Stegostoma tigrinum: one gene and its partners. The protein of the gene in region 4 binds, or shares a complex with, the protein of the main gene of each other region. Links are inferred from orthologs where the notes say so. Each region holds a gene or a part of one and is shown on either strand. Other genes may lie near its edges.

Region 1 (7,471 bases), on a different chromosome or scaffold from region 4:
GTAAAGAAACAGAATAGTTCCACTAGGTGCGGAACATACCCACCATAAAAACTGTCAGTCGTATTCCTGTTAATGCTTGCTCTGTACAATGGAATAGTGACTGCATTTCAAGAATGCTTCATTTCCCATTGAATATCTTGAATCACAATTTGACAATGTATAATCATAAATCTCTCTCTTCAAGTATGTGGATATGTTAACAGCTGAACTATGTACATCAGGGCTATTGAAAAAAGATGAGGGAACGGGATAAAGTGAGTAGTTCTCGCAAAGAGCCAGCATGTAAACGATGGAACAAATGCCCATTTTGTGGGTAATCATTCTATGGTATTGGATGAGTGAAAAATATTGGTGGGGACGGGGTTTGGGAGGGGCGCAGTATTTTCAGTTAATTCTACATTGGGCTTTCAAAAGAAACATAACATGTACAACAGGTGATATGGGGGAAAAGTAATCAACACCAATTTATATATTCATGAACAGAAACTACAGAGGTAATGATTAATTGCTCGTTACAATAGCAACATTGTCGAGACTCTTAGTTATACATTGTAAATTTATTTTCCTTGATTCTGCCCAGTTTCGAGCAGAAAAATATCTTGTAAAAGTTCCTCTTCAAATCTCTAATTCTTTCTCTTGACGTCTTCCTCTACTGCCATCTATTTATAAGGTTTGCACATTATTTTGTTGTTATTGCAACATGATTCTTTGCATAGCAACAGTACATGCACTCTCCTCTCAATTACATCTGCTGCCTTTGTTCCCATTTCCTTTGCAGATTACGTTAGAAGAAAAATTCAGAAGCGGCTAAGCAGAATAAATAGTCACAAAAATAATTTCACATTTCCAGAAAGTGTGATTAAAAAATAATGGTGCTGTTGGTCTGCCATCATTGATAGCAATAGTTCAACAGTAAATTTGGATAAATCAAGAATCTACAAAAATGATCTACTTAAATCACGTTTTTACAAGAAAACACATGTAACAGCAACTATCATCAGGGACTGGAGCTGGCCTGTTATTTTAGAGTAGGAGGGAGGATTTCTAGACCAGATGTTGTCCTTTTAAGCACCAACTCTTGCTTTTATTTCATCCACTTGTCTATTATCTACTCCTTTGCTGTGACAATGGCATTCCTTGAAGAGAAATGCAAGATTACCAACAGTATTCAGTTATCCTTTTAGATACTACCCTTCATCTATCTCCTGCTGTTCATGCTTATCAAAAGACTTGCACATTTGCAATTATTCTATTTCCATTCATTCTATTTATCACCCTTTTCATTTATGCCCTGCATTTTTTAAAATTCATTTTATTTCTCCACTGAATAATGAAACAAACATGAAACAGGCCTCCTTTTCAGTTTCACCATAATTTGCAGGACCTTTACTTTGCTTTAATACAGGGACTGGTATCAGTATAAGTGATCACTGGGCTCACCATAAAAAAAGTGACCAGGTTCTGTAATGGCAGTTAAGGAAGAACTTAACCTATATGGGGTAATTCAACATTGTTAACTAGCAAGCCACGAAGTGGCACCAGACCGTTACAGAAAAGTTATCTTGGATTCTCCAGCATCTGCGGTTCCCATTATCACAGAAAAATTAAAGTTGCTCATGAAGGTGACTGCATGTGGAGGCTGTGGGATGGGGTCCACTGATTAACACTAATCTCCACCAGAAATTAACAGAGGTCAACATTTTCAGAGAGGCCCTGGCATTTCATACCTGGCCAATGGAGGTTTTAACTTGCTGAGCAAATACTGCAGAAATGAGGTATTCAGAGCTTCTGAAGTACCCTGACACAACAGCAACAAACATCTTAAAATTCACCATTTGGCATTGGAACATCCAGGCCATGATTTCCAGTTTGCCTGTGCTCTTTAACCACCTGAATCACTGTTTGGCCACAGTTGGTACAACCTTAGTTTTTTACATGTAAAAAACTGAGGCAAAAAGCTATGGAAGCTTTAATTGGAAATAAAAGAAGAATATGCTTGAAATGTTCAGAAGGTTAGAGTTAGTTTTAAAGGTTAACTTTTTGGATTCTCTTTCCAGAGACACTGTTGGGCTAATCTGGGTGTCCCAACAACAGTAATTCCTCCAGTTATTTTCTACACAGTAGTAAGTCCTAGGCTAAGTGTATTTTAGTCACAGAGCAAGGGTCTATCTATAAGTATGGTGCTGCTCCACCTGGAAGGTATATTTGAGCACTTGGAGAGTAGGGAGGGAGGTGGGCGGGCAAGTGTTACATCATCTGCAGTTGCAGGGCAAGGTACCACAGAACTATAGGAGGGGTGTTAGTGAAGGGGGAGTGGACAAAGGTGTCTCAGACACCCACACTCGTAGGACATCTACGTTCTGCCCACACAAAACAAAACAAAAAGACCCTGAGCTTCCAGTTGCCTGCCACATTAACGCACCACCCTGTTCACTGGCCAACATCACTGTGTTAGACTTGCTGCAGGGTTCCAGTAAAGTTCAGAGCAAACTGGAAGAACAGTTTTGTCCATCCAAATGCACTTTCCTTTCTTTGGGCTCTATCCCAACTTATGATTTACTCCTTACACCTCTCCCCACCCTATCCTCTGCATACAAACCAACATTTTCCTAGCTGTAAAAACAAAATTGCTGGAAAAGCTCAGCAGGTCCGGCAGCTCAGTTCTGAGGAAGGGTCACCGAGCCAGAAAGGTTAACTCTGGTTTTCTCCTTCTGAGCTTTTCCAGCAACTTCTGTTTTTGCTCCTGATTTACAGCATCCGCAGTTCTTTCGGTTTTTATAAAGGCTCGGGGCAGCTAGCAACATCTATGCAGACAGAGTCAACATTTCAGATCAAGCTACTAAATATTTTCAGCATTTTCTAATAACATTATAAAAGCTTCAGGTGTTTAACATTGCGGAAGGGAAGGCAAGCCAAGAACTCAAGACTGCTCCACACTGCCCACGTTGACAGTTCTTTCATATTCGGACTCCTAAATTGAAAGCTTCTCCTCCTCATCCCGCCAATGAGCCACTCTAACATCCACGAAGCCCCTACCACCAACCTCTCACTCCGTCTCCATTCATTCCTCGCTCTCTCCGCTATTCTACCCATAGCCCTCGTCCCCATTCTTTCTCACTCTCACTTTCCTTTTCCTCCTCCTCCCTGTTCCCGTTCCCCACTTTCTCTACTCACACCTTTCCACTCTATTCCCACCTCCCTTTTTTCCCCTCCACTTCTCCGTCTCTCCCATTCCCACTCTCTCCACGTCGCCAGGTTACTCACTGCCACTACTAGCCGCCATCGTCCCATTAACCACCGCGCGCATTGACCTCTAACCCCGCCCGGAGAAAAGATTAAACCATCACTATCCCACGAGATTTTATAGAAACGCGACCGCTGATTATTAACATTATTACTGAATGTTGAATTTGAGGACATTATCGGTGTTTTCTCCTCCACTGCTAAAATAAAATAAACAAGGGTGAAAGGTCAAGGCTTCTGATGTCACATGCAGAGCACCCATTGGCTGCGCTGTAACCAGGCAACAACGCCGGACCCCGGTGAGCGAAGAGCAGGGAACCTTCTTCCTCACAACCTTCTCCCCCCTCCCCCCCGACCAAAGACCCAGACACCAGCAACACAAACTTCTCTCACCCCCCCACCAACCAAAGACCCAGACACCAGCAACACAACCTTCTCTCACCCCCCCACCAACCAAAGACCCAGACACCAGCAACACAACCTTCTCTCACCCCCCCACCAACCAAAGACCCAGACACCAGCAACACAACCTTCTCTCCCCACCCCCCCCCCAGAAACCCAGACACCAGCAACAAAACCTTCTCTCCCCACCCCCCCCCCCAGAAACCCAGACACCAGCAACAAAACCTTCTCTCCCCACCCCCCCCTCCAGAAACCCAGACAGCAGCAACACAACCTTCTCTGCCCACCCCCCCCCCCCGCAAAGTCCCAGACACCAGCATCACCACCTTCACCCCCCCAACCAAAGACCCAGACACCAGCAACACAACCTTCTCCCCCCCCAACCAAAAGACCCAGACACCAGCAACACAACCTTCTCCCCCCCCAACCAAAAGACCCAGACACCAGCAACACAACCTTCTCTCCCCGCTGCCCCCCCCCCAAAGACCCAGACTTCATCAGATGAAGGGTCTAGGGCCGAAACGTCAGCTTTTGTGCTCCTGAGATGCTGCTTGGCCTGCTGTGTTCATCCAGCTCCACACTTTGTTATCGCTGAATATAAAGTGCTGCTCCTCCATTTTCTGGGTGGTGTCATTGTCACCGTCACCTTGCTGCAGAGTTTCAGTGTTGGTCTCTGCAGATATTTTCTCATCAACCTATTCAAAGGTGTTGAGACAGAGGGGACTCAAAGCAAGGCTCCTCAATCAGAGGTAGGGCCACTGCAACACCCCACATAGAACAGAATAAAATAAGCTTCATTGTCAAATGCTCAAATGAGTAGGGAAAAGTTCATAAGTCACTATTTACAGCACCATCCTAGGTACAAAAGGTACCTCAGTACAGCTTCTTCAGTTACCAGATCTTAGAAAAATAGAGAAATTCAAAGTCCAGCATTGTGCAAATGGAAGTGCAGAACAACAACCTTCCAGCCCAGATTATCCTAGCACTGAGTGTCCAGTCTGCATTGGGCTTCACCTTGAGTTGCTGGAGAGTGGGACATTGCCCTGGAATCACCTGATACCAGGAATCTATGCTCAGGTACGCCAGACCAAGACCACCATATGCCACTGATACATTGCTACGTCACCTCCGTTCAAGCTTGAGGAATAGCACCTCGACTTCTGATTAAACACAATAGTTTACTCAACATTAGGTGTAACAATTCCTGTTAATACATCCTCTTCCATTTTATGCAGTTCCTTTTGCATGAGCCCATCTTAAACGTGATTTTACCTGCAGGCACAGCTGTTCATTATTCTGCCTTTCAAACCCATTTTGACATTTTTAAAATCAACTGTTATCTCCCCCTTTGACAATAGCAAAGTTCAGCAAAGACCGAAGATCCGAAATAGAAACAAAGCGTTGGACAGACTCGGCAGGTCCGGCAGGATGCCTGCAAAGATAAACAAAGTTGATGTATCAAGTCCAATGTGATCCTTGATAATGGGAACTGCAGATGCTGGACAATCCAAGATAACAGAGTGTGGAGCTGGATGAACACAGCAGGCCAAGCAGCATCTCAGGAGCACAAAAGCTGACGTTTCGGGCCTAGACCAATGCTGGCTCTCTGATGAAGGGTCTAGGCCCGAAACGTCAGCTTTTGTGCTCCTGAGATGCTGCTTGGCCTGCTGTGTTCATCCAGCTCCACACTTTGTTATCCAATAGGAAATATTTTGTCACGTAGCCACTGCTTTCGTTCATTAAAAGCATGACTACTTATTTTGTTCCTCCCGCCCCATTCATCTGCACAAATCTATAACATTTCTGACAGCACATGTGGAAAGAAAGCCGAGTTAAAATTTCAAGTCGAGTAACACTTATGCAGAATTAGTAGCGGCTCAAAAATAGATGGAGCTCAGAGGGATAAAGGTAGGCAGTTAAAAGGAGGAAGGAACCCTGATAATGCTTCTCGACCATTCATCCCATTATCAGTTTCTCTCCTGCCTTACTTTCCCAGCTCCACGTGCACTGCCGGCTACACAGCGGCTGCGCACTCCGCCCACACTACTACATCGTTGCTAGTAGCTCCATTCCATTGGCTGCACCTGCCCCAACAACCCGTCGGTCTAGACCCGCCCTTCTCCATCCCATTGGTTGAGCCTGGCTCCCCTTGCATAGTCTGTGGCCTCCACATGCCCCATCATACCGGCTCTAGCCCGTTCCTCTATTCCATTGGCTGCGACTGCCATTTCCCTCCCTTCCATTGGCCCGGACCCGGCACCCTTCCCATTGTCTGCAGCTGCATATTTTCCTCAATCCTATTGGCCCTGGCCCAGTGTTCTATTCCATTGGATGCATCTGCCAATTCCCTGCAACCCATTGGTCTGACGCTTCGCGCCACCCTATTGGCTGAGGTGCCTTCCCTTTCTCTGAGTGGCTCGAGCCTCGGCCCGGTGCGTTCCCATGGCAACAACCCGACGCCAAGCCCGAGACCTGGTTCCACCTGGAGGGTGAGAGGGATGGGAGCACCATGAGGGTGGGGGGGTGGTGAGGAGGACGGGACTTGGGAGAGTGGGTGACTCCGTGGAGGATGAGGAGGTGGAGAGGTTGAGTGCCCCAGTGGGGCGGTGAAGTGTAGAGGATGGGAATGGGGTGAAGGGTGAGAGCATCCGGGAGGGGGAGAGCAAACCACAGGGTGAGAGTGAAAGGGGTAAATGGAGCATTGCCTGAGCTATGTGTGGGTAGAGAGACTGACAGCCTCGGTGTTGGAACCACATTTAGGGAGGGTGGGGGTCAGTCAAAGGGATCTTTTATCAAGCCACCACCCCTCCTCCCAACCTCCCATACCTCCAACCTTCCCCGACCCTTCCCTCTTTCCTTCTCCTCCCCAACACAACCCTTTGTTGCACTCACTGTTAGCACTGAACACAGAAAGATGAGGCAATGCATGGTCTGTCGAATAAGTTGATCTCTACTTTTTTACATGTATCTCAGTACGCTGTTTTTATATAATGTCCTCTAATTTTTATCATGCATTGAACGACATCAGATAGGGATGTGGCGACAGAATGAGAATGACACTGGGCTAGTAATCCAACGGCTCAAGTGAGGGATTAGGACCTGAGTTCGAATTCCATCAAGGTGGTGGAATTTAAATTCCATTACTTGATAAATGTTTGGAATATGAAGCTGGTGACCATGGAAACATTGCTGACTATCATAAAAGCCTATCTGATTCACTCATGTCCTTTAGGACAAAATCTGCCATCCTTTTTACTTAGCCTAATTAAGCCTCCAGACAATATAGCTGACCCTTAAATCATAATCCACATGGTGCAAGAACAATTGGGAATTGCCAGTAATTCCCACATCCAATGAAAAAGTACAAAAAAAGACAAATGAAGTAATGATAACAAAGTGTGAAGCTGGATGAACACAGCAGGCCAAGCAGCATCTCAGGAGCACAAAAGCTGACGTTTCGGGCCTAGACCCTTCATCAGAGAGGAACTGAAATAACATATATGGTTCCTTAGAATTAACATAATACCAAATTCTGTGGTGTTGTTAGGAATAAAACCAATGTACGTTTGGAGAGAGATGACAATTTAATCAGTTGTTTCGGATTAGATTCAAACCTAGGTTGAAGAACTGTACAACAAAGTGTGGAGCTCAATGAACACAGCAGGCCAAGCAGCATCTCAGGAGCACAAAAGCTGACGTTTCGGGCCTAGACCCTTCATCAGAGAGGATCATGAAGGGTCTAGGCCCGAAAAGTCAGCTTTTGTGCTCCTGAGATGCTGCTTGGCCTGCTGTGTTCATCCAGCTCCACACTTTGTTATCTTGGATT
Region 2 (8,192 bases), on a different chromosome or scaffold from region 4:
TACCTCTCGCATTATATTCATCTTTTTTTAAAAAACGTACTGCAGCATGAAACCCTCTTTATGCTAATCACATAAGCAAAGTGCAAATGAAACTGATTGCGAATACTGGAACTTTAGATTGGCTGATGTTGTGGCGAGGGAGTCAACCAGTAGAACACTGGAACATTCAGGGCTACAGAGAGCAAAAAAAAATGCACTGATGATTCAAACTAATACTGAAACTTCACAGGTTTTTTTTTGAAGGAGTCTACAATATTATTGCGTCTGAAAAAAAAGCTCTGAAGAACATATTCAGTCAAGCAACTAATTGGACATAAAATACTTGAAAATAAATATTACTAGACACAACCTGGTTGTTTCATTTGGCCTCATTAAAAAGCAAAATCTCACAGCCACACAAGATACATACTTACGAAAATAAAGCAGCAGATTGAATGTTTAGCCTTTGAACAAAACGGAATAGTAATTAATTGTCACACATTTTTAAAAAAAGTATAGTGAAAAGTGGTTAAGTTGCCATTGTCTGGCACCTATATTAATAACAGAAATAATACATTAAAAAATTAAGACAAAGTCCACCATTGTTCAATTCACAACTCATGGACCAGTGAGACAGCCCGAAACGGGACACTGGCAGCAGCAACGGCATGGCTGGGAAGCCCTGAGTGGGACTGCAACAGTAGAAAGGAAAGTCAGACTCAAATTTTTTTTGTCTTATTCTAAGTTAATGTGAATGGTGCCATGCAAGTACAGTGAAGGTGCACACATTTCACTGTTTTTTAACATTGATTTATTTTGAATTATTTATTGTTGCATGCATTCAATCAACTGGCAGAGACTGGGGAGACATTTTTAACGTTCATGTTTGGGTTACAATTGGATGGCACTGATGACCTACCCTTGAAGAGGATTTCGAACATCTAACGTTAGAAACTGCATGAAATTTGGATTTTGTGTCAGAAAACTGACCAGCAATGAAAGATATAAGAGTGACTGCTACAGTATATTGCCTTTAGTTTAGCACTGTTCTACTGCATTGAAGCTATGTATGCAAGTACTTCTATTAGGGTGAATACAATCCATCTGATATATTAGGCAAGAATTCTTTCACAGTTGACTGCAACTTCTTTTAAATACATTTGTTGGAATGATCTAACTTTGAAGATTTCCTTTGCAGATATCTTCTCTTACCACAAAAGATTTTCTAAACTGACTTGGAAAAACAAATGAAACACATGGAATAAGCTTCTTTGGTAGCAATGGAACTCTGAATAAAACCATTAAAATGCTACAAAGAAAATTTATAATGACATCACAACACTGAATTGAGTTTATGTTCATGCTATTACCTAACACAAAGGGTTAGTGCCAAGGACATGTGTAGCTCAAGCTATAACTCCAAAGGTATGCAGTCTAGGTGGACTGGCCATGCTAAATGCCCAGTGTTCAGGGATGTGTAAATTAGGTGGTTTTACAGGGAAAGGGTAGGGGGATAGGTCTAGGTGGGATGCTCTGAGTGTCGGTGTGGACTTGAGACTTAGGGCCAATTTCCACACTGTAGGGATTTTATGAATGCTGAGTAATCACTAAAATGTGAACCTTAAAATCTAAAACAATGGAGCCAAACGAAGGAACATAACAACATTTCATTAAACTTTCAGAAATCAGCAAAGAACATCTATGCATCAGTATAAGGAATAAAACTAGCGTTCATCCAACAAAATTAGACTCAAAATAAATCTCTAAAATGCCATGCCCTTTTCTACACCAAATACCGATTATGTAAGCTTGCCTTCCAAAACGTCGCACTAACAGTCGACATGATTGTTGCAAAATCTGCAGTTAATGAGACTGCTGTGTTGCAAATTAAAACTTCGCTTGAGCAGCTTTCAAGAGAAACTATCATAGAATTGCCAACATCGTGAAAGATTTCACGAAAGATCATCCACAACAGTGAAACTGTTATTCTCCACAATCGGAGAACGATTTATTCTTTTTTAAAAAGTTCAAGGTGGCAGTTAACTTGGGGAGATTCTTGGAAAGGGCGGAATGTTCCCAGCACAGGAATGCAAATAGGTTGGGGGAGGAGGGAAAGAGAATGGACGCGTAAGCGCGAAGATGGGAAAGAAATGAGCGTATCTAACAAGAACAGTGCAAAAGGCCGCTAAACAATAATGGGAGGGGTCAACGAACATTTGGGGTCGACCGAAGTTTTGGTGGACGAACGCGAGATGCGACATAGGTTGTGTACAGACAGAACTTTAAAGTTGAGGGAGAGAAAAGTGAAAGAAAGAAGGCCTGAAGACTGTCACTCACTGGGGCATTTCGGGGCTCTCTCCTTGTGCACAAACCCGGAAGTCGCTCCGGTCCGGACGGGGGTGACGTCAGCGCGTCGGCCCCCGGGCCATTTGAATGGAGCGGCGGCAGCGCCCGGCGCCGGTGGGAGGCAATTGCCACCGCCAACACCCCTCCTCCACAACACACAAATAACTAGCCCCCGGACCCTAGATATACCAACATATCTCAGCTCCTCCCACTTACAACTACGCGCCATCATTCATCTATCCCGCCCGCCTTCTGCGGCACCGACTTTAAATTCACGGAACCGAAGGGCGGAGGAGGGAGGAGAGCTCCAACAAACTCAAATCCCATACACAGTCAGAGAGAGAGAAAAAATAAAATGGCGTCCGACAAAACAAGGAGCAAGAAAGGTACTGGCGGCTTCCCCGCCCCTCGTCCACCTCCCCCCTAATCCCACTCATGTTAACAACTCACTATCCGCCGGCGTTTAAAGGGCAAAACTTACCGCCTATTGCCTCTTTTTTTTGAAAAAGAATTATTATTTCGCCCACCCCCCACCGCTACTCCGCTTCTCTCCCGTTTGGGGTTGTGTTGTGCGTATGTGTACGGCCGTGTTTGTCAGCGGACTGGACTGACGCGCCCTCTCCGTGCAGGCCCCGGCTCCGCTTTCCTCGAGGCCGTTCATCAAACGGACGGACCGTCCACGCTCTCCAGTCGCTGCTCCTGGGCGAATGAAAACACGGTGCCCTCGAGGCCCGCGCGCAGCCGCCTCCTCCTGCTCGCGTTCCACCGCCAACTGTCACCGAACGTGCGAACATTCGACAGGTCCCGTCCCCTCCCCCCACCAACCCCAACGATGGTTTTTTTTCTCTCTCTCTTCCTCCTCCCTTCCCCCACTCTTGTCGCCCTCGCTTCTCAGCTCTTTCCGCTTCTGCAACAACAATGCACCGTTTCGCTGATGCACAACGTCACAGCTTGGGGGCGGGGCTGAACTGTTCTCGCCGGCCGGCTGCCGTGCTGCTTGTCAAAACGCTTCACCGGCGTCTCTGCCAATCAGCGTGCGGAGCGGACGGGACTAGCGTCTTGCCGCCCCACCCCCCTCCGCGAGTGGTCCGCACGGTTAACCTTGTGTTTCAGGGGGGAAACCCCGTGGCTTGGTGGAGTCCGAGGAGGGGGGAGGATGGGTCAAAGACAGAGAATCTCCGCTTTCTGAAAGTGGCCATCCTCTTGGGAGGATGAGGCCCGGTAGCAGTGTAATGTGCGGGCCTCTGTGAACTTGAAACACAGGTTTTGTTAAAATTCAGCGGGTCGGTCAGCTCTGTTTTGTGATGCAGACTGATGACAACAGTGTGAGTTCAGTTCCCTGGATAGTTTTTCTCGTCAACCTGTTCAGAGATGTTATTGACATATCTCTGCAGCAGGTGGAATTTGAATCTGGGTCTCCTGACTTGTAACACCAATACAGCACACCAGCCCGCCTGGAAGGATTCTCCTTCTCAACCTCTTCCCCCTCGCCTGATGTGTGGGTGACTGCACTCGTCCCTCTCTAATGAAAGAGCCGCACTACGGGTCTGGTAGGACTACGGCGAGGTTACTCCCTTTTATGAAATAGATCTGTATTTTTATGTTAAATTGTAGCCTTTATAACCCACTGACTTTAGATTCCAAGGGAGGGGACGCTGCACCCACCAACAGCACTATCAGGTTGAAGCTTTTGGGAGCATGGCTCAGTATGTGAATCAAGAGTCGGGGGGGGGGGGGGGGGTGAAATTAATGCTGAGTTGAGGGAAAGAAAATCATGATCAGCAAAATCCTTCCCATCTTTATCGTTCCCACCTTAAGAAACATAGTTCTGGAGAAACGCATCAGGTCTGGCAGCATCTGTGGAGAAAGAAGCAGCTAATGTTGGAGTCTAGTATGAATCTTCAAAAGAGTTTATTTGATTTGGGATAGCTGTCAATTGGGTAAAGAGGTCTGAAGGTAAACTGACAGTGCAAAAATATCTTGCAACTACATTCTATTGAAAACAAGAACTCAACAAGCAAGACCCATCTGTGCCTTCAACAGGAAATTATTGGATAAAGCAGAGATTTCTAATGTAAAGAACAACAATTATTTCAGTAATGTATGTCTTTTTGTTTTGTGTGGAGAGCAAATATGATAATTAGGGGTGTTTTGGAAATGAGCTGGTTTGTGGAAAAATAGAGTAAACTAGCTAGAAATATAAAGCATGTTGTAAAAGCTTTTACAAATCTATAACATGATGTGGAGGTGCTCTTGGACTGGGTAGGCAAAGTCAGAAGTCACATAATACCAAGTTATAGTCCCAGAGATAGTAGGAACTGCAGATGCTGCAGAATCTGAGATAACAAGGTGTAGAGCTGGATGAACAGAGCAGGCCAAGCAGCATCCCTCTCATGGAGGTTCTAGAGCACTGCTCCCTTGTCAGGTGAAGTCCTGAAGTGACACTACAAGTAATGAACCTGCTCTCTCCAGGAGATTAAGCTTTCATGAAAATAGATCAAGTCTGATTCACAAAGATAGGAAAAAGCCTTTTAAAAATTGGACCCTCACTATTATTTCCCATGATTCTGACAGAATATGTACAGTGAATATAGCAGTGACTGATTTCCATTTCAAGTGATTCCAAGACAAAGAAAAACGTACACTGAAAGTAACATGCTTTTTGTTCCAGTGGGAGAATCATACTGTTTCTGCTTTAGACAAATATGTACTAAACCTTTATAATACTAAGAATATTGTAAAGTTAACTGCAGTAAACTGCAGAGTGGACACGAACAGAGCCATAAATTAGTAGTCGTGGAGGTCAGAAGTATGAACTAGACATTGTAATAAGCCAAATAGTCTTTATAGAAAAAAACCCTTTATTTATGCATGTCTTAGGCACATTTGATGGTGGCTTTAGAGTTGCATATGAAGTTTAAATCCATGTTCCCATATATCAAATTACTAGGAAGAACAATATTTTGATTTAGAATTTATCCAGTACTTTCCTAGAGTGGAGTGAGCTATTACGAGGGGACATAGCTTTAGAGTGAGTGGAGGTAGATACAGAGGAGACGTTAGAGGTACATTCTTCACTCAGTGGTTAGGGCATAGAATGCATTGCCGGAGAGGGTAGTGGAGTCGACTTGGATAGGAGCATTTAAATGGCTATTAGACAGGCGTATGGATGACAGTATAAGGTAGGGGGTGAAGGTCAGATAGAGTTTAGGATTAGGGAAAAAGCTTGGCACAACATCGTGGGCCAAAGGGACTGTACTGTGCTGTTCTATGTTCTAAAACAATCCACTGGTGAAAGTAACCCAAAATCTCTGCAAGCCACATCCAATTTCAACTAGCCTGTTAGAGCCCTAGAGATACACACAGCATGGAAGCAGACCCTTCGGTCCAATTCATCCATGCCAACTAGATATCCTAAATCAACCCAGTCCCATTTGCCAGCATTTGGCCCATATCCATAAGCCTCTTCTATTCATATACCCATCCAAATGCCTTTTAAAATGTTGTAATTGTACCAGCCTCGACTTCCTTTGGCAGCTCATTCCATACATACAACAACCTCTTTGTGAAAGAGTTGCCGTTTAGATACCTTTTAAATTTTTCCCCTCTCACCTTAAACCTGCATCCTCTAGTTTTGGACTCCCCAACCCCAGGGAAAAAGACCATGTCTATTTACTGTATCGATGCCTTTCACGATGTACATTTAAGTTGTCATTGGACAAGTATATGGACGTACATGGAATAGTGTAGGTTAGATGGGCTTGAGATCGGTATGATAGGTCGGCACAACATCGAGGGCTGAAAGGCCTGTACTGTGCTGTAATGTTCTATGTTCTAAAACAACACTTTTCCAAACTCCAGTTTTTGAAAATTTAAAAATAGAAGAATACAATAAATAAAGGAATATCTGACTTCAAATAGGAATAAGTTGTCAGAGATTGAGGCCAGATTTTGCAAACTGGACTTATGCTCCAGTTTCTTCTAGTTTTGGTCTTAGGTTTAAAAACCTTTACGAATAAATGAGTGGACCAAGATGGTCCCAATTATTTAGTCCTAAAAGGACTACGTCAGAAGTTCTTATTACTTCAGATAGCTATACTGAACATTTTTATTGCTTTAACGTTATCTAACATACTAAGTGATTGTAAACATATCAAACTGTATGATATGCAAAACTATATGTATTAGAGCAATGAATAACTATTGTGAAGTTATGTTGTGTAGTAAATGCTGATACTTAGACAGGTAAAGGAGTAGAATTTTATGTGTCATCTTGTAATTTCTGCCCAATCAATAGATGGAAAAATAGGGACTGGCAAAAATCTCAGTAGATTTCTTACCATGTTATTGAAATGTAAAGCTAAAGAAGATATGAGACAGATTTTAAAATAAGGAAGGAAACTGGAAATTCAGCAAAACCAGAAGTAAAATGAACAAGTTAGAATACTTCATGTTAAATAGCAAAATCCTGTCAAAGTTTGTTTTATTTCATAAGTATTCACTCAACACAGCAAATTCACATTTTGTTCAGGCACTCAATGCAGATAGATTCTTGAATAAATAAGAACGAGCAGCATGTTGTCTGCAAGTCTTATTAAAGAATGTTAGAAAAGTTGGCAAATTGTCAACCTTTTCTCATATTCTCATGATGTGTGAATATTTTTTCTAATATAACTAATTTTGTCTCCATTTTAATAGAAAGTGGAGGTAGTTGAGACAAGTTAAATTCAATCCCGCTAAAACCAGAAATATTAAACATTATTCTATGAGTGTTCCTACACTGTGATATATAAATTGGGTTCATTTCCATTAGGTAATGAGTATATGCAATACTTCCAACATTTCCTGGTTTAAGATCTTCCCTCTTATCATACCTGTATATCAAAAGGGAGGAAAATGAAAATGAAAATGAAAATGATCAATCTTTTCACACTAAAACACTAGTTAACACATTTAAGCTACATTTCTTGAATTTCCTTAACAGTGAAAGTTGGAAATTTAATATCTTTTAGTTATGGGCAACATTTCTCTTCCTAGTAAAGTCAGTTAGATCCTATTTATAAGTGGCTGTCATAGAATTCTTACATATTTTCAAACATAACAGATTCTGTTCTGTTCATTCTTCAGAGGTACTTAAATGTGTTAAATATTCATATCATTCCATTTACAACTTACATTCTGAATAACCTTTAGCTCCTACAGAGGTGGTAAACAGGCAGACATGGATCAGTCGGATGTACAGTCACTCAATTTTCCCTTTCTATTTGCTTCAAATTGGATTGAGTGAACAACAGGTAGCCACTCCAAACAACAATTTATTGACTTCCCAAAAGGTGAAAATTGGCTCATTGAATCTTAAATCAGAAGTGGAGCCTACTTGACCTCCTTCACATGTGCCAGATCATTGTCCCATTATTCATATACTTTCTTTCAGACTTATCAAGTTATAAATTTTGCTTATATTCACAATTTATAAAAAAAAGATTTAACTTCTTCCTTTATCCTGTGAAAAAAATGTGCTTCCTGACTTCATTCAGTTGCTTAACTTGAATTTTAAAGATGTCATTTTGTTCTGATTCATCTCACTGGTGAAAATTATTACTCTGTATCCTTTCTTTTTTTATTATTTCCTATTCCTAGATTATATCTCCCCTTGAAATGCTAAATTTGAGGAATTAAAAGTAAAGTTTGTACAACCTATATTCATAATTTAGTTATTTCATATCCAATATCATTCTGGTTATTCTGTGCTGTATTTGATCCAAACGCAGTTACTCTTACCTGGAAAGTGGCATCTAATAATATTCTGACCAAGATTCTGTACAACTTGAATGCACGAGGGAAGTTATGCTCCAGTCCCTTTGATA
Region 3 (8,313 bases), on a different chromosome or scaffold from region 4:
GTATAGAAAGGCTCCTAGGAATTGTGATCAATAGTGATTTGTATTCAAAAGCAGTGCAATTTTTATTAATATTCCCTCTTAATGTTTTCCTTCACATATATGAATTACCGTTTATTTCTTTCCTCACACTTTTGTCTTGCCTGCACTTTACGTTTTGAGAGCTTCCGAAAAGAAACTTAATAAGTATAAAAGATACTTAACAGGATCAAAAGAAAATTATAGACGAGTAAGGCAATTCAGTCCTCCTGCAGATACTAAAATCCTCCATTTGCAGCATTCAATTCTGTGTTAAATGATAAATGAAGTAAATCTTTAAAGAATTCAGAAACACCAGGAGGTAGCAAAGATTTGTTGTCAGGAAGGCAACATTTAGAATACGTACCAACCGGAGTTCTTAGCAAGTTTTATCAACAACTGAATGGATTGTTAGCAACAATGACTGAAAACATAGCACCGTAATAACTTAATAAATGAAATAACTTCAAAAAGAGGTCGGTATTCTGAAAAAATTATAGTCCAAAAAGCCTATTAGTTGGTTTTTAAAATTTGTAACAGATCACAATAAAAAAATGCATGGCCCTTATATACAGTAAATCTGTGTAGCTCAAATTGTTACAATCAATTTCAAATTTTTAAGTGTTAAGTCTTCTTGTTGCCTTAAGCTTCTTTTTCACTTCCATAAGCTCCTGATAAATGAGCTTTACACAGATCAGTTGCATTTTGCTATATAACTGCATTTTAAGGAGTTGACTGTGATTTTTTTTCTGATTGTATAGTTTCTAACATAGCCAGGAATGAACTTTTATTTAATACACATAAAAATGTTCAAGTGAGACTTTGAATTAATGTGCTAAATAAATCAAATTCAAATGCTTCAATTCAAGCAGTGGTGATCAAAGTTATGAAGCAGAGAAATTATGGTTGGTACCTGTTCTAGCAATAAAGGTAACTGAAGCCAAGTCTCCTCTAAAACAATTTTACTTCTTTTTAGTTACTAGAATGTCCTGATAAATTTTAAATTGCATTTACTCTGCAAGGGCAATTCCACAACTAACTTTAATGGATTTTCTTAGCCTAGTTTTGGCTGATACTTTCACTAATGCTTACCTAGTAAACCATGTATATCAATGCTCAGCAAATTACTGAAAATGCTGAGTGCTTGTAACTGCATGCAGTCTACAAGGTTTATTTGGTCAGAATCTTAATAACTGTTTGTAGATGTGTTTTAATAACAAAATGCCATCAATTTCAATTTTGTCTCACCAGAAACTCTCCATTACGGGTGGAATGGGGTGAAATTAACTAATAATGGAGATATTTGAAAAACGTTCACAGTGACATACCGCAGATTGCTATAAATATAATTTATTAAGCTGGTCAAAAAGAAAAATCTTCAAAATAACTCTCTACTTTTGAAATGTAATGCCATAATTCATTTTGCTGTATAACTGCATTTTAAGGAGTTTACTGTGATATTTTTTGCCAAATAAATCTGAATATCTAGTTTCTAACATAGCTAGGGACAAACTTTTATTTAATACATGTGTAAATGTTCAAATGAGACTTCTAATTTACGTGCTAAATAAAATCAAATTAAAATGGTCCAATCCAAGCAGTGGTGATCAAAGTTTTGAAGCAGAGAAATTATGGTTGGTACCTGTTGTAGCAATAAAAGATAATTGAAAGCCAAGTCTCCTTTAAAAACAACTTTACTTAATTTTAGTTGTTAGGTTGCCCTGATAAATTTTAAAATGCATTATTTCTATTTGATTTACTTTAATTGATTAATGTTTACAGAAAACTAGAGATGAATTATTTTAATATATTTCTGTACTTCAATTCAGAATAACACAAGAATGCAAATATTAAAAACTGAAAACTTAGAAAACCATTCTCGTACCCCACTTTAAAGTATTTCATTATTCAATATATGTGTGCACAAGTGGAAAATGTACAGTAAAGATAGTTTTAAAATACGTTAATGAAATTCAACATTTTAAAGGTTATCACGGAGAAATTGCTACGATATCAGCAGTTACAATGACATCAAAGACTGATGTCGCATGGGGAGATCAGTTTTTTTTAAACACATTTTCAGACCGAGCCACAGAGTGCAATAATGGTCTCACTAAAGGAATTTAAGAAAACATTCGCAAAGTCTATACAATTAATTGTTTATGGAAAAGAAATCCAAGTGCAGCTAAAAAGGGAAGAGAAGTTGCCACCTAGCGCTGGACCAAGTGATGGACGCTGTTGCTATGGTGTACGTTGCTATGACTCTGCAATTGAGTGGCAATAGATAAGTGATCTCAGAAAAGGGAGGGAAAGGAGCTGAAAAAGTAAAAGTAACTATAACAAATTATCGGAATATTATCAAAAATGACTCGGTAACTGAAACTAAAGGTGGTTTTATTTTGGCTGAAACTTTTATTTCCTGGATCTTTTCAAATGTTGCAAAGGCGGAATATTTAGGTTTTGGGTCAAGAGGCATTTGTTTTGAAAAGAAACTGAAAGAGGTAAGGTGGAAGGAGAGAAGTCGCGGGTATCGTAATGTGGCTGTAAGAATGTTCAGTGCAGTGTCCCGGCATTTAAAAAAAAACACGGGTGAGTTGTGTGCCTCTGACATGACTAACGTGGCTCTGCATACTCTGTACTTGTAGGTCCATCTCCCTCATTTCCGTAAACCTGTCGCGCAGATCCATGGGAAGTTGTTCGATCACTGTCGAGAGAGGAAAACAACAGCATTAATGGTGCCTTTTCGCTTCGCTCCGCCCGGCCCTGCCGGGGTGGGGGGGGGGGAAACAATCCCAGCTGTACACGCTGCCTTACACTCAATACTCACTTTCCAAGTAATCCTCCAAGTACAACATTTCGAGTATGGATGGTTTTTGTAAAAAAAACCGGACGATTTTTTTTAAAAAAGGGATGGTTGTTTTTTTTCCTTCCCCCCTAAAATGGTTCCAATATGGCGTCTCAAACCAGCGCCGCTCGTTCGTTTAAAAAAAATGGGGAATGGCAGATAAAAACACCGGCGCCTCGGCTCCGCCCCTCCCCGCCCCGCGCACTCAAATTCCGCACTCCGATTGGTGGGCCGGCGGCCCTTCTGTTTCGTTGGCGCGGTTTTTCCTGGTTCGGCACGCCCACAACAACAAGGTAATGTTGGGAGATGTAGTCCAGGTCTTTCTGTTCGAGGCGGGCAGCCGTCGGCCTCTGTGTTTCTTGAGTCGAGTTAAGCCTGAGCTCCCTGATCGATTATTGAGGCTACGAATGATTTGGGGTGAGGCGGGGTTCGTTGTTCAAGTTGTGCCGGCTCCGACGTGCACTTATTATTTTCTGATTATTGTTTCGATCGTTTGGTTTAAACAATTTAAGACCCGTTTCCGATTACACGGCGGCATGAGCGAGCGGGGCTGGAAGATGCTCTCTTTGATTTGTATGTATCCCGTACTCAACTTCCACGCAACTCAGCAATATCTCTCCATTCACTGATTCATTGCACGGAAGCAAGAAGATGCATCAGATAACAGAGACCCCCATCCTGTTGGTGCAGCTTCTGATCAGAGGGATGTCTAATTTGTTCAGTCCCCTGCTCAACTCCTTTTAAAAAGTCAATCGGGTACCTACAACTGCTAGCCTTGCTGATCTTGATCATAACACATCATTCTTCAGCTGAACTTGAAATGAATGTAGTGTTTTAAGAGTTTTTTTTGGGTACGATCTCCGTAAAGACTCAACTTCTAAAAAGTAATTCGAAGTACCAGATTGATATCTGAAAGGTTGACTCGAGATTTCACATTTTTATTTTTTTAACTGTGGCAAACAGAAGAAATACGCTACAGTATTGAGTGAACACTTTTTTTGTAGCCAGTAAAACATGCCGTTTTACTTTTTATAGGACCTAGAAACTACTTTTTTTAAAAAAAATTCTTTACACAGCTTCTTTAAGTAGTCCTTTCGTAATCTTGTAAAAGCGAAAATACTGCGGATGCTGGAAATTTAAAATAAATAGAGAATGCAGGAGAAACTCAACAAATCTGGCAGCATCTCTGGAAACACAAATAGTTAATATTTGAGCCCAGTATATGTCTTAAGAACTACAAGATGCAATAGTTGAGTTCTGAAGTGTCATATTGAACTCGAACGTTTTTCCCTCCACGGATGCTGCCAGACTTGCTTTACATCTTTTAGGGACTTGGGAAACTACCGGTCACTGTAAATATATTCGTGCAATTATCTCCACTTTCATTACATTTAATCTCTAACAGCCGCGTCACCTTGTCTTGTCATCTGGCAGATTTCAGAACAGATCATATAACCCGTTCAATTTACCGGAGGTTAAAGACACGGTCATCGAACCTCACATTTCCTACTCAATAAATGACTTATTTTGAACCAGTTACTTAGAAAATTTGTGAAATGTGACCTTGGTGCAAAAACCTACTACTTAAGGGAAAAGCATGTTTCAATATTTCAGAGATAGTAGGAATTGCCAATGCTGGGGAATCTGATGTAACACCGTGTGAAGCTGGATGAACACAGCAGGCCAAGCAACATCAGAGGAGCAGGAAAGTTTGACGTTTCCTGTCGAGACCCTTCTTCAGAAATGGGAGAGGGGAAGGGGATTCTGAAATAAATAGGGAGAGAGGAGGAGGCGGATAGAAGATGGATAAAGGAGAAGATAGGTGGAGAGGAGACAGACAGGTCGAGAGGCAGGGTTAGAGCCAGTAAAGGTGAGTGTAGGTGGGGAGTTTGGGAAGGGATAGGTTGGTCCAGGGAGGACGGACAGGTCAAGGACACGGGATGAGGTTAGTGGGTAGGAGATGGGGGTGGAGCTTGAGGTGGGAGGAAGGACAGGTTAAGGAGGTGGGTGAACTGGGCTGGTTTTGGGATGCAGTGGGGGAAGGGGAGATTTTGAAGCTTGTGAAGTCCACGTTGATACCATTGGGCTGCAGGGTTCCCATGTGAAATATGAGATGCTGTTCCTGCATCTTTTGGGTGGCGTCATCGTGGAAATGCAGGAGGCCCAGGATGGACATGTCATCCGAGGAGTTGGGGGGGGTGGTGGGGGTGCAGTTGAAATGGTTCGTGACTGGGAGGTGCAGTTGTTTGTTGCGAACTGAGCATAGGTGTCCCGCAAAACGGTCCCCATGCCTCAGCTTGGTTTCCCTGATGTAGAGGAGGCCACAACGGGAACAACGGATGCGGTATACCACCTCAGCAGATGTGCAGGTGACCATCTACTTGATATGGAAAGTCTTCCTTGGGGATGGGGGTGGCGGGGCGGTATAGGGGCAGGTGTAGCACTTGCTTCGCTTGCAGGGAAAAGTGCAGGGGTTGGTGGAGTAGGAGGGGAGTGTGGAGTGGACAAGGGAGTCACGGAGAGAGTGATCCCTCTGGAAAGCAGATAAGGGTGGGGAGGGAAAAATGTCTTTGGTAGTGGGGTCAGATTGCAGATGCGGAAATGTCGGAGGACGATGCTTTGGATTTGGAGGTTGGTGGGGTGGTACGTGAGGACGAGGGCGATTCTGTTTTGGTTATTATTGCGAATAGGGGGTGTGAGGGATGAGCTGCGGGAAATGCGGGAGACATGGTCGAGGGCATTTTCAATGACTGTGGAGGGGAAATTGCAGTTCTTGAAAACAAAAGGACATCTGGGATGTTTCGGAGTGGAATGTCTCAGGAGCAGATGCAGCGGAGGCGAAGGAATTGGGAATAGTGGATGGCCTTTTTACAGGAAGGTGGGTGAGAGGAGGAATGTTCTAGGTAGTTGTGGGATTTGGTAGGCTTAAAATGGATATCGCTTTCCAGCTGGATGCCAGAGATGGAGACAGAGAGGTCCAGGAAGGAGAGAGAGGTGTCAGAGATTGTCCAGGTAAATTTATGGTTGGGGTGGAAGGTGTTAGCGAAGTGAATGAACTGCTCAAGCTCCTCGTGGGAACATGAGGCGGTGCTGAAACTGTCATCAATGTAACGGAGGAAGAGATGGGGGATAGTAGCTTTGGAAGAGGGATTATTCCATGTACCCTACAAAGAGGCAGGCATAGCTTGGGCCCATGCCTGTACCCATGGCCACCCTCTGTCTGTAGGAAGTGGGAGATATAATTATTAGTTTGCTTTAGGATAGGGTCGAGCAGTTTCAGGGCCGAAGAAAGTATAAGAGGGTTGCAGCGGGAGAGGGATGAACTGCGGTGTACAGACAAAGGCCATGGGTACCCTCATGGGCCCAAGCTCCAAATCCAACGCATCAGCCTCCGACATTTCCACCATCTGCAATCTGACCCCACTACCAAAGACACTTTTCCCTCCCCACCCTTACGTGCTTTGTGGAGGGATCACTGTCTCCATGACTCCTTTGTCCGCTCCACACTCGCCTCCAGCTCCAACATCCACGGCACGTTTCCCTGCAAGCGAAGCACGTGCTACACCTGCCCCTTTCCACGTCAAACAGATGTTCACCTGCACATCTGTTAATGTGATATATTTCAATATTTCGTATTTCTTATGAAGATAGTAAACATTCCAACTGGAATATGACTTTTCATTGACTGAAAATGGGTCATAATCAACTCAGAACAACTTGTTTTTGCTCTGCACAGATGATACTAACATGTTTTCAGCACTTTCTGCTTTAATTTCAGATTTCCAGCAAGTTCAGTATTTTGCTTTTATATCGTTTAGCCATTTCGATGTGCATTTTTTTTTAACATACTTCATTTTGTCTTTATAATGTGGGATTTAATCTCTCCTGAGGTTTTTTTTAAGATTAGATTAGATTCCCTACAGTGTGGAAACAGGCCCTTCAGCCCAACAAATCCACACCACCCCTTGATGTATCCCACCCAGACCCATCCCCCTATAACCCATACACCCCTGAATACTATCAGAGATAATGGGAACTGCAGATGCTGGAGACTCCAAGACAACAAAATGTGAGGCTGGATGAACACAGCAGGCCAAGCAGCATCTCAGGAGCACAAAAGCTGACGTTTCGGGCCTAGACCCTTCATCAGAGAGGGGGATGGGGGGAGGGAACTGGAATAAATAGGGAGAGAGGGGGAGGCGGACCGAAGATGGAGAGTAAAGAAGATAGGTGGAGAAGGTGTGGGTGGGGAGGTAGGGAGGGGATAGGTCAGTCCAGGGAAGACGGACAGGTCAAGGAGGTGGGATGAGGTTAGTAGGTAGCTGGGGGTGCGGCTTGGGGTGGGAGGAAGGGATGGGTGAGAGGAAGAACCGGTTAGGGAGGCAGAGACAGGTTGGACTGGTTTTGGGATGCAGTGGGTGGGGGGGAAGAGCTGGGCTGGTTGTGTGGTGCAGTGGGGGGAGGGGATGAACTGGGCTGGTTGAGGGATGCAGTGGGGGAAGGGGAGATTTTGAAACTGGTGAAGTCCACATTGATACCATATGGCTGCAGGGTTCCCAGGCGGAATATGAGTTGCTGTTCCTGCAACCTTCGGGTGGCATCATTGTGGCAGTGCAGGAGGCCCATGATGGACATGTCATCAAGAGAATGGGAGGGGGAGTGGAAATGGTTTGCGACTGGGAGGTGCAGTTGTTTGTTGCGAACTGAGCGGAGGTGTTCTGCAAAGCGGTCCCCAAGCCTCCGCTTGGTTTCCCCAATAATGCACCCCTGAATACTACGTGCAATTTAGCATGGCCAGTCCACCTAGCCTGCAAATCTTTGGACTGTGGGAGGAAACCAGAGCACCTGGAGGAAACCCACGCAGACACAGGGAGAATGTGCAAACTCCACACAGACAGTTACCTGAGGCTGGAATCGAACCCGGGTCCCTGGTGCTGTGAGGCTGTAGTGCTGACCACTGAGCCACCATACCGCTTTGTGCAGCTTTATAAATGCAAATTATTTTCCTTCTTTTCCTTTATCCTCAATAATTTACTTGTGTTTCCTTTACCTTAATATATTCCAACTTAGATGTTTATTGTAACTTAAGGTTCTTGCAAAGATTTGTAGCTTGGGTTGTGGGTGAGGTAGTTGACTTGCTAGCCGAGCTGGCTGGTTATAGTTCAGATGTTTTGTCATCATGCTAGGTAACATCATCAGCACAGCCTCCAATGAAGTGATGTTCTTCTACTCTGTTTGCTATTTATATGGTCAGGTCTGTTGAGGTGTTCTGTGTCATTTCCAGTTCAGAACCGGAAATGACACAAACACGTCAACAGACTGGATCGTATGAATACTAAGCGGGCTAGGACAACATGGCTTCTTCGGAACCCGCACTGATGATGTTACCCAGCCTGGTGATGAAACATCTGAACTATAACCAGCCAGCTCGGTAAGCAAGTTTATTGTACCTT
Region 4 (7,673 bases):
ACAGAGTCAGTAATCTTTGAAGTGTACAACTTTCAATCTTGATATTGGCACTGCCCTGAGAAGAAACTAAGATTCTCCGAGGAGAACTCTCTCACCCTACAACAATCTTCAAACTTCTCAAGAAGGTGGTGAATGCTGCTTGCGTACAATTCTACCTTTTCGTGCCCTCAATTTGTCATTCTTTGACTGTCAGCTCAGGTCGTTAATGTCAGTAAATTGTTAACTTGTGGGGATTTCAACTGATCCTTTTTTTATGGTTTATGTGTGGAAGGAACTGCCAGAGGAAGTGGTGGATACAAGACATTTGGCTAAGTACATGAATATGAAAGAATATGAAAGAAGAAGGGCTAAACGCAGGCAAGTGGGAGTAGTTTAGTTTACGAACATGGTTGGCATGGACTGTTTTCATGTTGTATGACTTTATAACTCTACACAGATGTACGTTCCAGGAACAGTCAGCACACGGTGTTCAGCAAAAGTCCTGGCGTACCACTCCCTGGCCTTCACTCAGAGTTGACAACGCCAACTGTAGGGGTCCCAAGTAATAACACATCTTCAGGTGAGTTAACATGATAGGAATCAGAGACTCATCCAGAGACCACCACAACTCAGCTATGTACTTCAGTGTATGTTTAGGAACAGGTTACTAGAAACCCTATTTAGGTGTATTCATTACTTTTTTTTAATGTACAGAACTGTCTGCATTTATTTTTGAGAATTCTGAAAGTTCAATGTACAACAGTTGGCCTCAGAAAGTAAAATCAAAACTATTTAAATTCACACAACGCAAAATTTTTCATCCATTTGTTTGAAAAGTATGATAAGCAAAATGTCCATTCCAGCAGTAAATTAACAACATTTCAAAAAGCAGACTTTAAAAAGTGAAATAATATTGCCTGTGAATTATACAGGAATGGACTCGAAAATTTGCCAAATTTGTTTCGGTTGAGTCACTTTGACAGCTCTATTAACACAAAGTCAATACACGTACTTCTGATTGGTCAAGTAACGATCCCATCCACGAATGATATTCCCATACATTTGTGTATCTTCCAAATAGCTTCCTTCAAAAGCATAGATCTGACGTTCCAGGTTTGCCAAAGTCTCCTGTGGAAATAAAAGTTACAAAAATATTTATCAAACTGCTGGGGAAGAAAAATGACCTGCTATGAAGATTTGTTGTAATGTTTATTTCAAAGAATTATGAAAAACAGTTGGACAAAGAAAGAGAATGAATGCTTTTTGTTGGGATTCACAACAATTGGAGCTAAACTGGTTAGTTTTGAAAATCAGACACAGGAATTGTGATGTACCATTAGCCAGTATGTGTTATTTGTAATGTAATTACAACCTTTTGAGTTACAAAGAAAATGCTGGAAAAACTCAACAGGTCTACACAGAGAACAGAGTAAACATCTTGAATACAATAGGCCTCTTTAGAATAAACATGTCACCCCAAACTCATAACTTTAACTCTGCTTCTCTGTCCACAGATGCAGCCAGACCTGTTGACTTTCTCCAGCATTTTCAGTGGTTATTTCAGATTTTCAGAATCTACAGTATTTTGCTTTGATTTAAACTTTGTGCTGCCTGTTCATTTGGATTTATTTCTGTGTATAACCAATCATTGCTAATCACTTCGTGCACTAGTTGAATGCATTAGCAGAGTCAAAAGCACAAGTGGCGAGCACATACAAAGCTTGTACTGCACTTTTGTGTACTGGGATTGGAAAAGATGCTAAGAGTCATAGGCAAAGAGCTTCTGACCTCGTGAAGCGTAATGGCATAAGAGAGGAGAAAGAAAGCTTGTGACTTTCAGATGCCTCACAGGACATTCTGGTGAAGGCAGTGGAAAGGTGGTCTGTATCACCAGAGGCCAGGAGGCACCCCATCCCTGCCCCCAGACAAGGTTCAAAAGGTAAGTAGAGGTAGAGATCGATGCAATGAACCAAACTGGTGGTCCTGAATGAGGTGCCAAAGGAAGCTCAACATCCCATGAGTAAACAAGGTCAATGAACATATACTCAGATGCCACATTCGACAAGTGCAACAGGAGCCTCAAATTGCCCAAATCGTCTCACACTGATTTCTCTCTTTTCACATCTATTAATAACGATTCATACCAAATATCTACGGCTTTACCTTGATCTCTGAATGTGGCACTATTACAAGCTGCATACCCATATTTTCCACCTTGCATACTTCACCAATTATGGCAGTCACAGCAAACACACAAAAACATAAACAGGGACCACACAAACCCATCACTGAGAATCCTGCACAGGAAAATAAAAGTTGTTGCAAGTAAAAATCTTTGTCAATGTCCCTCACTCAGCTGCAGATAAACCGACACTTGCATATATTTGTGTCACACCGGATCGCTGTTTCAGAGTTTGCAATCCCAGCAGTTCAGCTCTCCACCCTACTAGATCTGTCGCTGGGGGAGGAAACTGAAATTCCCACTCTGCCCAACAAAGCCTGGGGGAAAAAAAAATAAAGCTCAATGTAGCCTTGAACGGAGAAAGCGGTGGTTCTCTGTGTTGACAAGGCTGGGACACCCCACACATTCTACACTGACCGTAACAACAGTGTAAGCGAGAATAATGTCTCACTGTGCGGCGTGTGACAAGAGGGACATGAGCAACAAATACATGCACACCACTCCTGCAGGTCTGTCCGATATGACACAAGCCCACACCCAGGGTGCCCGCTGTTGATGCCCCAGGGCAGGGACACCAGCTCCAACATCACCCTTTCCTCCCCCCCCCCCACCACCACACACAAGTGGAGGGTCACTGGATAACTCTCCCTATCTCCTAAGTACCAGACCTGGGGCCAACCCCCCCCACCAACCACATGGCCCTGACATCGTCCTCAACCGCCTCCCCGACCCGCTGCGGCCCAGGCTCTCCCCGGCTTTTCCTGCCTGAGCCTCCCCGGCCTCGAGCACTGGCTCCGGTTCCCGCCGAACCCGCTGCTTTCCCCACCCCCATCCATCCGAGGCTCACATACCGCCAGCTCCTGCTTCCTCTTGACCAGCTCAGCCAACTCCCGCCGGGTGTCCGGAATTTGTGGGGTCTGCGCCTTGTTGTGCATCGCCATGTCGGAGCTGGCGAGCAAGCAGCGCCCGGGCTGGGGGGTATAACCGCTTCTTCAGGCCGCGGCCGGCAGGAGGGCGCAGGATGGACCTCCAACCAGTAGGGGGCGCCGCCTGGGCAAGACTGCCACCGGCAGCCCTGACCGGTGAATTACACTGAGGACATTGCCACCGTCAGGGTTGGAGGGTGAATTACACTGAGTACACTGCCACCATCAGGAATGGAGGGTGAATTACACTGAGTACACTGCCACCGGCAGGCCTGACCGGTGAATTACACTGAGGACATTGCCACCGTCAGGGTTGGAGGGTGACTTACACTGAGTACACTGCCACCATCAGGAATGGAGGGTGAATTACACTGAGTACACTGCCACCGGCAGGCCTGACGGGTGAATTACACTGAGGACATTGCCACCGTCAGGGTTGGAGGGTGACTTACACTGAGTACACTGCCACCATCAGGAATGGAGGGTGAATTACACTGAGTACACCGCCACCGTCAGGCCTGAAGGGTGAATTACACTGAGTACACTGCCACCGTCAGGAATAGAGGGTGAATTACACTGAGTACACTGCCACCATCAGGAACGGAGGATGAATTACACAGAATACACTGCCCCATCAGGGCTCGAGGGTGAATTACAGAGTACACTGCCACCGTCAGGACTCGTGAATGCATTACACCCCCCCCCAGGACTGAAGATTGACTTATGCCCAATATATTACCACCCTGAGGACACGACGTGTTTTACACTAACTCAGCCTGACTCTCAGGAGTAGACAAGTTATGCCTAATGCACCACCACCGTCAGGACTGGACAGTGATTTACACTGAATACACTGCCATTCTCAGCCACAGAGTGGTGACTCATGTTCCGGCAAGTATATCTGTTAGCCTCACTGCAGTGTACCTATTCTCTGACTCAATCATGTGCCTTTTTCCCACTGATCCCTTCCCAAAAATTCCAACCACTTGTTATCGCAATTTTCCTGTTTAACCCATTTGGTCCCAGTACGAGACCTGGCAACATCTGTAGCTGCTGCGTCAGTCAGGTGGACCCAGGCTGGGCTCTTGGCGGTGGCAGCAAAGAAAAGTTTGGGCTGATGGAGGCCCTGGCGTCATCGGTGGCAGCTGCATTGGGGAGGCCCAGCAAAGACTTATGGTGGCTGCAGTATCGGTAGAAGCAAGATGGCGCCGCAGAATGGTGGCTCTTGATCTGGCAATGCAGCAACAGCTTGTCTCTCCAGGCCCATGACGGAATTCTTTACAAGGACTGTCAAGTTGAACTTTATTTTTCTGCCTTTATATTCTATGTTTTGTTTTTTTTCTGTGTTTTAAGATGGCGCCAGAGAGCAGCAACGCAATACTACAGTTTTCACTGTATTTTGTAACAGAATACATGTGACAATAAATAAACAAAATAACCAGGACTGGAAAGAGACAGTAGGAACTGCAGATGCTGGAGAATCTGAGATAACAAAGTGTAGAGCTGGATGAACACAGCAGGCCAAGCAGCATCAGAGGAGCAGGAAAGTTTGATGTTTCAGGTCAAAGACCCTTCTTCAGAAACCAGGACTGGAGGGTGTGTTACACACAACACAGTTCCAATTACTGGATTCTTTCTATAATGAAGTAATCAAAACTGCATTCAGTACTCAAATTATGGACTAATGTATGGTTCCAGCATAACGTTCCCATTATTATAGTCCATACATTGAATACTACAGGAAAGCATTTTTTTCACCTTGACAGCTCTGTGAATATTCATTGCAAGGTTTCTTAAGTTCCTCCGAAGAAACTTCGGAGCGTGGGTTCATAATTCCTTGAAAGCAGAATCACAGGTAGATAGGATAGTGAAAAAGACATTTTGTCTGCTTGCCTTTAGTGGTCAGTGCATTGAGTACAGGAGTTGGGAGGTGACATGCGGCTGTACAGGACATTGTTTCAGCCGCTATTGGAATATTGTGTGCAATTCTGGTCCCCCTCCTACAGGAAGGATGTTGTGAAACTTGAAAGGTTTCAGAAAATATTTACAAGAATGTTGCCGGGGTTGGAGGATTTGAGCTGGAGGGAGAGGCTGAATAGACTGGGGTTATATTCCCTGGAGCGTCAGAGGCTGAGCCGTGACCTTATAGAGGTTTATAAAATCATGGGGAGCATGAAGAGGGTAAACAGACATGGTCTTTTCCCTGAGGTGTGGCTGTCTAAAACTAGAAGGCGAGGTTTAAGATGAGGGGGAAAAGATTTAAAAGGGACATGGGGTAACTTTTTAACACAGACCGTGATGGAATGAGCTGCCTGAGGACGTGAAGGCTGGTAGAATTACATTTAAAAGGCTCAAAAACAAAGTTTCTGGAAAAGCTCAGCAGGTCTGGCAGCATGTGTGAAGGAGAAAAGAGTTAACATTTCGGGTCCAGTGACCCTTCCTCAGAACAGTTCTGAGGATGGGTCACCAGACCCGAAACGTTAACTCTGTTTCCTCCTTCACTGATACTGCCAGACCTGCTGAGCTTTTCCAGCATCTTTGTTTTTGTTCCTGATTTACAGCATCCACAGTTATTTCGGTTCTTACATTTAAAAGGCATCTGGATGGCTATACGAATAGGTAGGGTTTAGAGTGATATCAGCGACATGCTGGCAGACAGAACTAGATTTATTTAGGATATCTAGTCGGCATGCACATGTTAGACCGAAGGCTATTTCAATGCTGTCCGTCTCTATGACTATTTCCACTCTACTATTTCTCATTCGTTCATCAGGTATGCATACTGTTACCTTGTTTGACCTCCTCAACAGATCACCTTGCAGTTCTACAGGTTAAATTGCTGTCACAGCTTTTGTATCTACCTGACTTGTCCATTGCTATCTTCCACAGGGCACCTTCGCATTATTGCCAAAATAGGATTGTAAGTTATTGAGGATATTTTTGATGGAATAAATGGACGGCAAGTCTTTGGTTGAGTAGAGATTGGACAGATGAGGAGTTCATCTGAAACAAGAGAACATCACTGGTAAAGGGGGTGAAGAAGAATGGAGACAGGCAATGTTTCAGGGACAGAATAGTATGGTTTTAGACCGAAAGATGGTACTTGAAACCAGGACTCTGAGGTTGCATCCATCAAATTGGGCATTTGAGAAAGAGGTGAAATTAGACTGTTGTCTGAAGTTTTTGCTGAAAGTTTAATTAGGTTAACTTTGGTTTTGTTACTTGTCAGCTAAGTGGTTGGATAACCCAGCAGATGGTGAAGCAATAATGTCGAGTACTATCAACTCACAAATGCAAGCTGGCATCATAGCTACGACTATTGGTACTGCATAGACAAAGGTCAGACAAAAAATTAACTTTGGTGCAAATATATGGGCACAGGGTAATAGCTAATGTCATGTGATGAATTCATACAACAGGACTGGAAACACATCGTAACACGGACTCAAATGCTGGAAGTAAATACTTTCATCGGAGATTGAACCCAAAGGGACAGAAAAACAGTTGGACAGACAATGGAGTGGATAAAGGTCAGCCCAAGGAATGAATAGCTGCTAATGGGGGCTATAATGGCTGATAACAGGTTGTGTGTGGCAGCAGCCCATGTAACGACAAGCCTTGGTGTGTGGGTGTTGGGGTAAGGACATGGAAAAAGATGCAGAAACACCAAAATTGTTGAACTCCACATTAAGTCCAGAAGGTGGCAGAGTTCCAAAAGGGAAACTGAGGTGCTGCCCTTCTACTTGCACTGACTTTCGCTGGAGCACTGCAGCGAGCCCGAGTCAGACATGTTGGCCAGGGAACATGGTGGTGTGTTAAAATGACAGGCATTTGGAAGCTCAGAGTCGTTTTGCTGACAGAATGTAGGTGTTCTGCAAAATGGTCACCCAGACTGAGCTTCGTTTCTCCAATGTAGAGGACACATATTTCCCCTCCTCTCCCTTGACAGCCTTCCATAAGGCCCATTCCCTCCGGGACACCCCAGTCCATTCCTCCTTCCCTCTACACCGCCATGGCACCTTTCCATTCATTGCAAATTGTCAAGCGCCTACCCATTTTACTTACTCCCTCCTCACCATCCAAAGCCCCAAACCCTTGAAGTGAAGCAGTGATATACCAGCACCTCACTGAATTTTGTCTACTGTACTTGCTGCTTACGATGTGGTCTCCTCTCCACCCAACCTTTTCCTAGCTACCATCAGTTCCGCAGAATGTTCACTGGACTCAAAACTGATTAATCTGATTTCTCTCCATAAATTCTGCCAGATCTGCTGAGCGTTTTCATCAATTTCTGTTTTTGTTTCTGATTTCCAACATCCACAGATGGTCAAAGATAACAGTGTGGAGCTGGAGGAACACAGCAGGCCAGGCAGCATCAGAAGAGCAGGAAAGTGCCCATTCCTGAAGAAGGATCCTGACCCGAAATGTCAACTTTCCTACTCCTCTGATGTTGCCAGGCCTGCTGTGTTCCTCCAGATCCACACTGTGTTAACTCAGTTATTTCAGGGTTTTTTTTTTTACCCTAAAATATCATTATTTTAGGTATGGGCATTGGTCATCATTCTTTCCCTGATGTAAAGAGGAAA

What was found.
Region 1: meaf6 (region 4) and brd8a share a complex: the UniProt entries of both Homo sapiens proteins name them as parts of the nuA4 histone acetyltransferase complex. The link is inferred for Stegostoma tigrinum from reciprocal best matches to the Homo sapiens genes MEAF6 and BRD8.
Region 2: meaf6 (region 4) and brd1a share a complex: the UniProt entries of both Homo sapiens proteins name them as parts of the MOZ/MORF complex. The link is inferred for Stegostoma tigrinum from reciprocal best matches to the Homo sapiens genes MEAF6 and BRD1.
Region 3: meaf6 (region 4) and ing3 share a complex: the UniProt entries of both Homo sapiens proteins name them as parts of the nuA4 histone acetyltransferase complex. The link is inferred for Stegostoma tigrinum from reciprocal best matches to the Homo sapiens genes MEAF6 and ING3.

What each region holds. Positions count from the first base shown.
Region 1 is NC_081376.1:48,890,022-48,897,492, forward strand, and holds the start of brd8a (bromodomain-containing protein 8), read right to left. Parts: upstream 3,290-7,471; 5' UTR 3,284-3,289; coding exon 3,265-3,283; intron 1-3,264. UniProt on the Homo sapiens protein: May act as a coactivator during transcriptional activation by hormone-activated nuclear receptors (NR). Isoform 2 stimulates transcriptional activation by AR/DHTR, ESR1/NR3A1, RXRA/NR2B1 and THRB/ERBA2.
Region 2 is NC_081378.1:30,366,585-30,374,776, reverse strand, and holds the start of brd1a (bromodomain-containing protein 1), read right to left. Parts: upstream 3,214-8,192; 5' UTR 2,807-3,213; intron 2,712-2,806; exon of another isoform or gene 2,504-2,711; intron 1-2,503. Other genes in the region: alg12 (dol-P-Man:Man(7)GlcNAc(2)-PP-Dol alpha-1,6-mannosyltransferase), read right to left, coding at 6,950-7,199. UniProt on the Homo sapiens protein: Scaffold subunit of various histone acetyltransferase (HAT) complexes, such as the MOZ/MORF and HBO1 complexes, that acts as a regulator of hematopoiesis.
Region 3 is NC_081371.1:36,895,966-36,904,278, reverse strand, and holds the start of ing3 (inhibitor of growth protein 3), read right to left. Parts: upstream 3,111-8,313; 5' UTR 2,871-3,110; coding exon 2,843-2,870; intron 2,720-2,842; coding exon 2,648-2,719; intron 1,760-2,647; exon of another isoform or gene 202-1,759; intron 1-201. UniProt on the Homo sapiens protein: Component of the NuA4 histone acetyltransferase (HAT) complex which is involved in transcriptional activation of select genes principally by acetylation of nucleosomal histones H4 and H2A.
Region 4 is NC_081377.1:12,577,563-12,585,235, forward strand, and holds the start of meaf6 (chromatin modification-related protein MEAF6), read right to left. Parts: upstream 3,204-7,673; 5' UTR 3,103-3,203; coding exon 3,013-3,102; intron 1,108-3,012; coding exon 992-1,107; intron 1-991.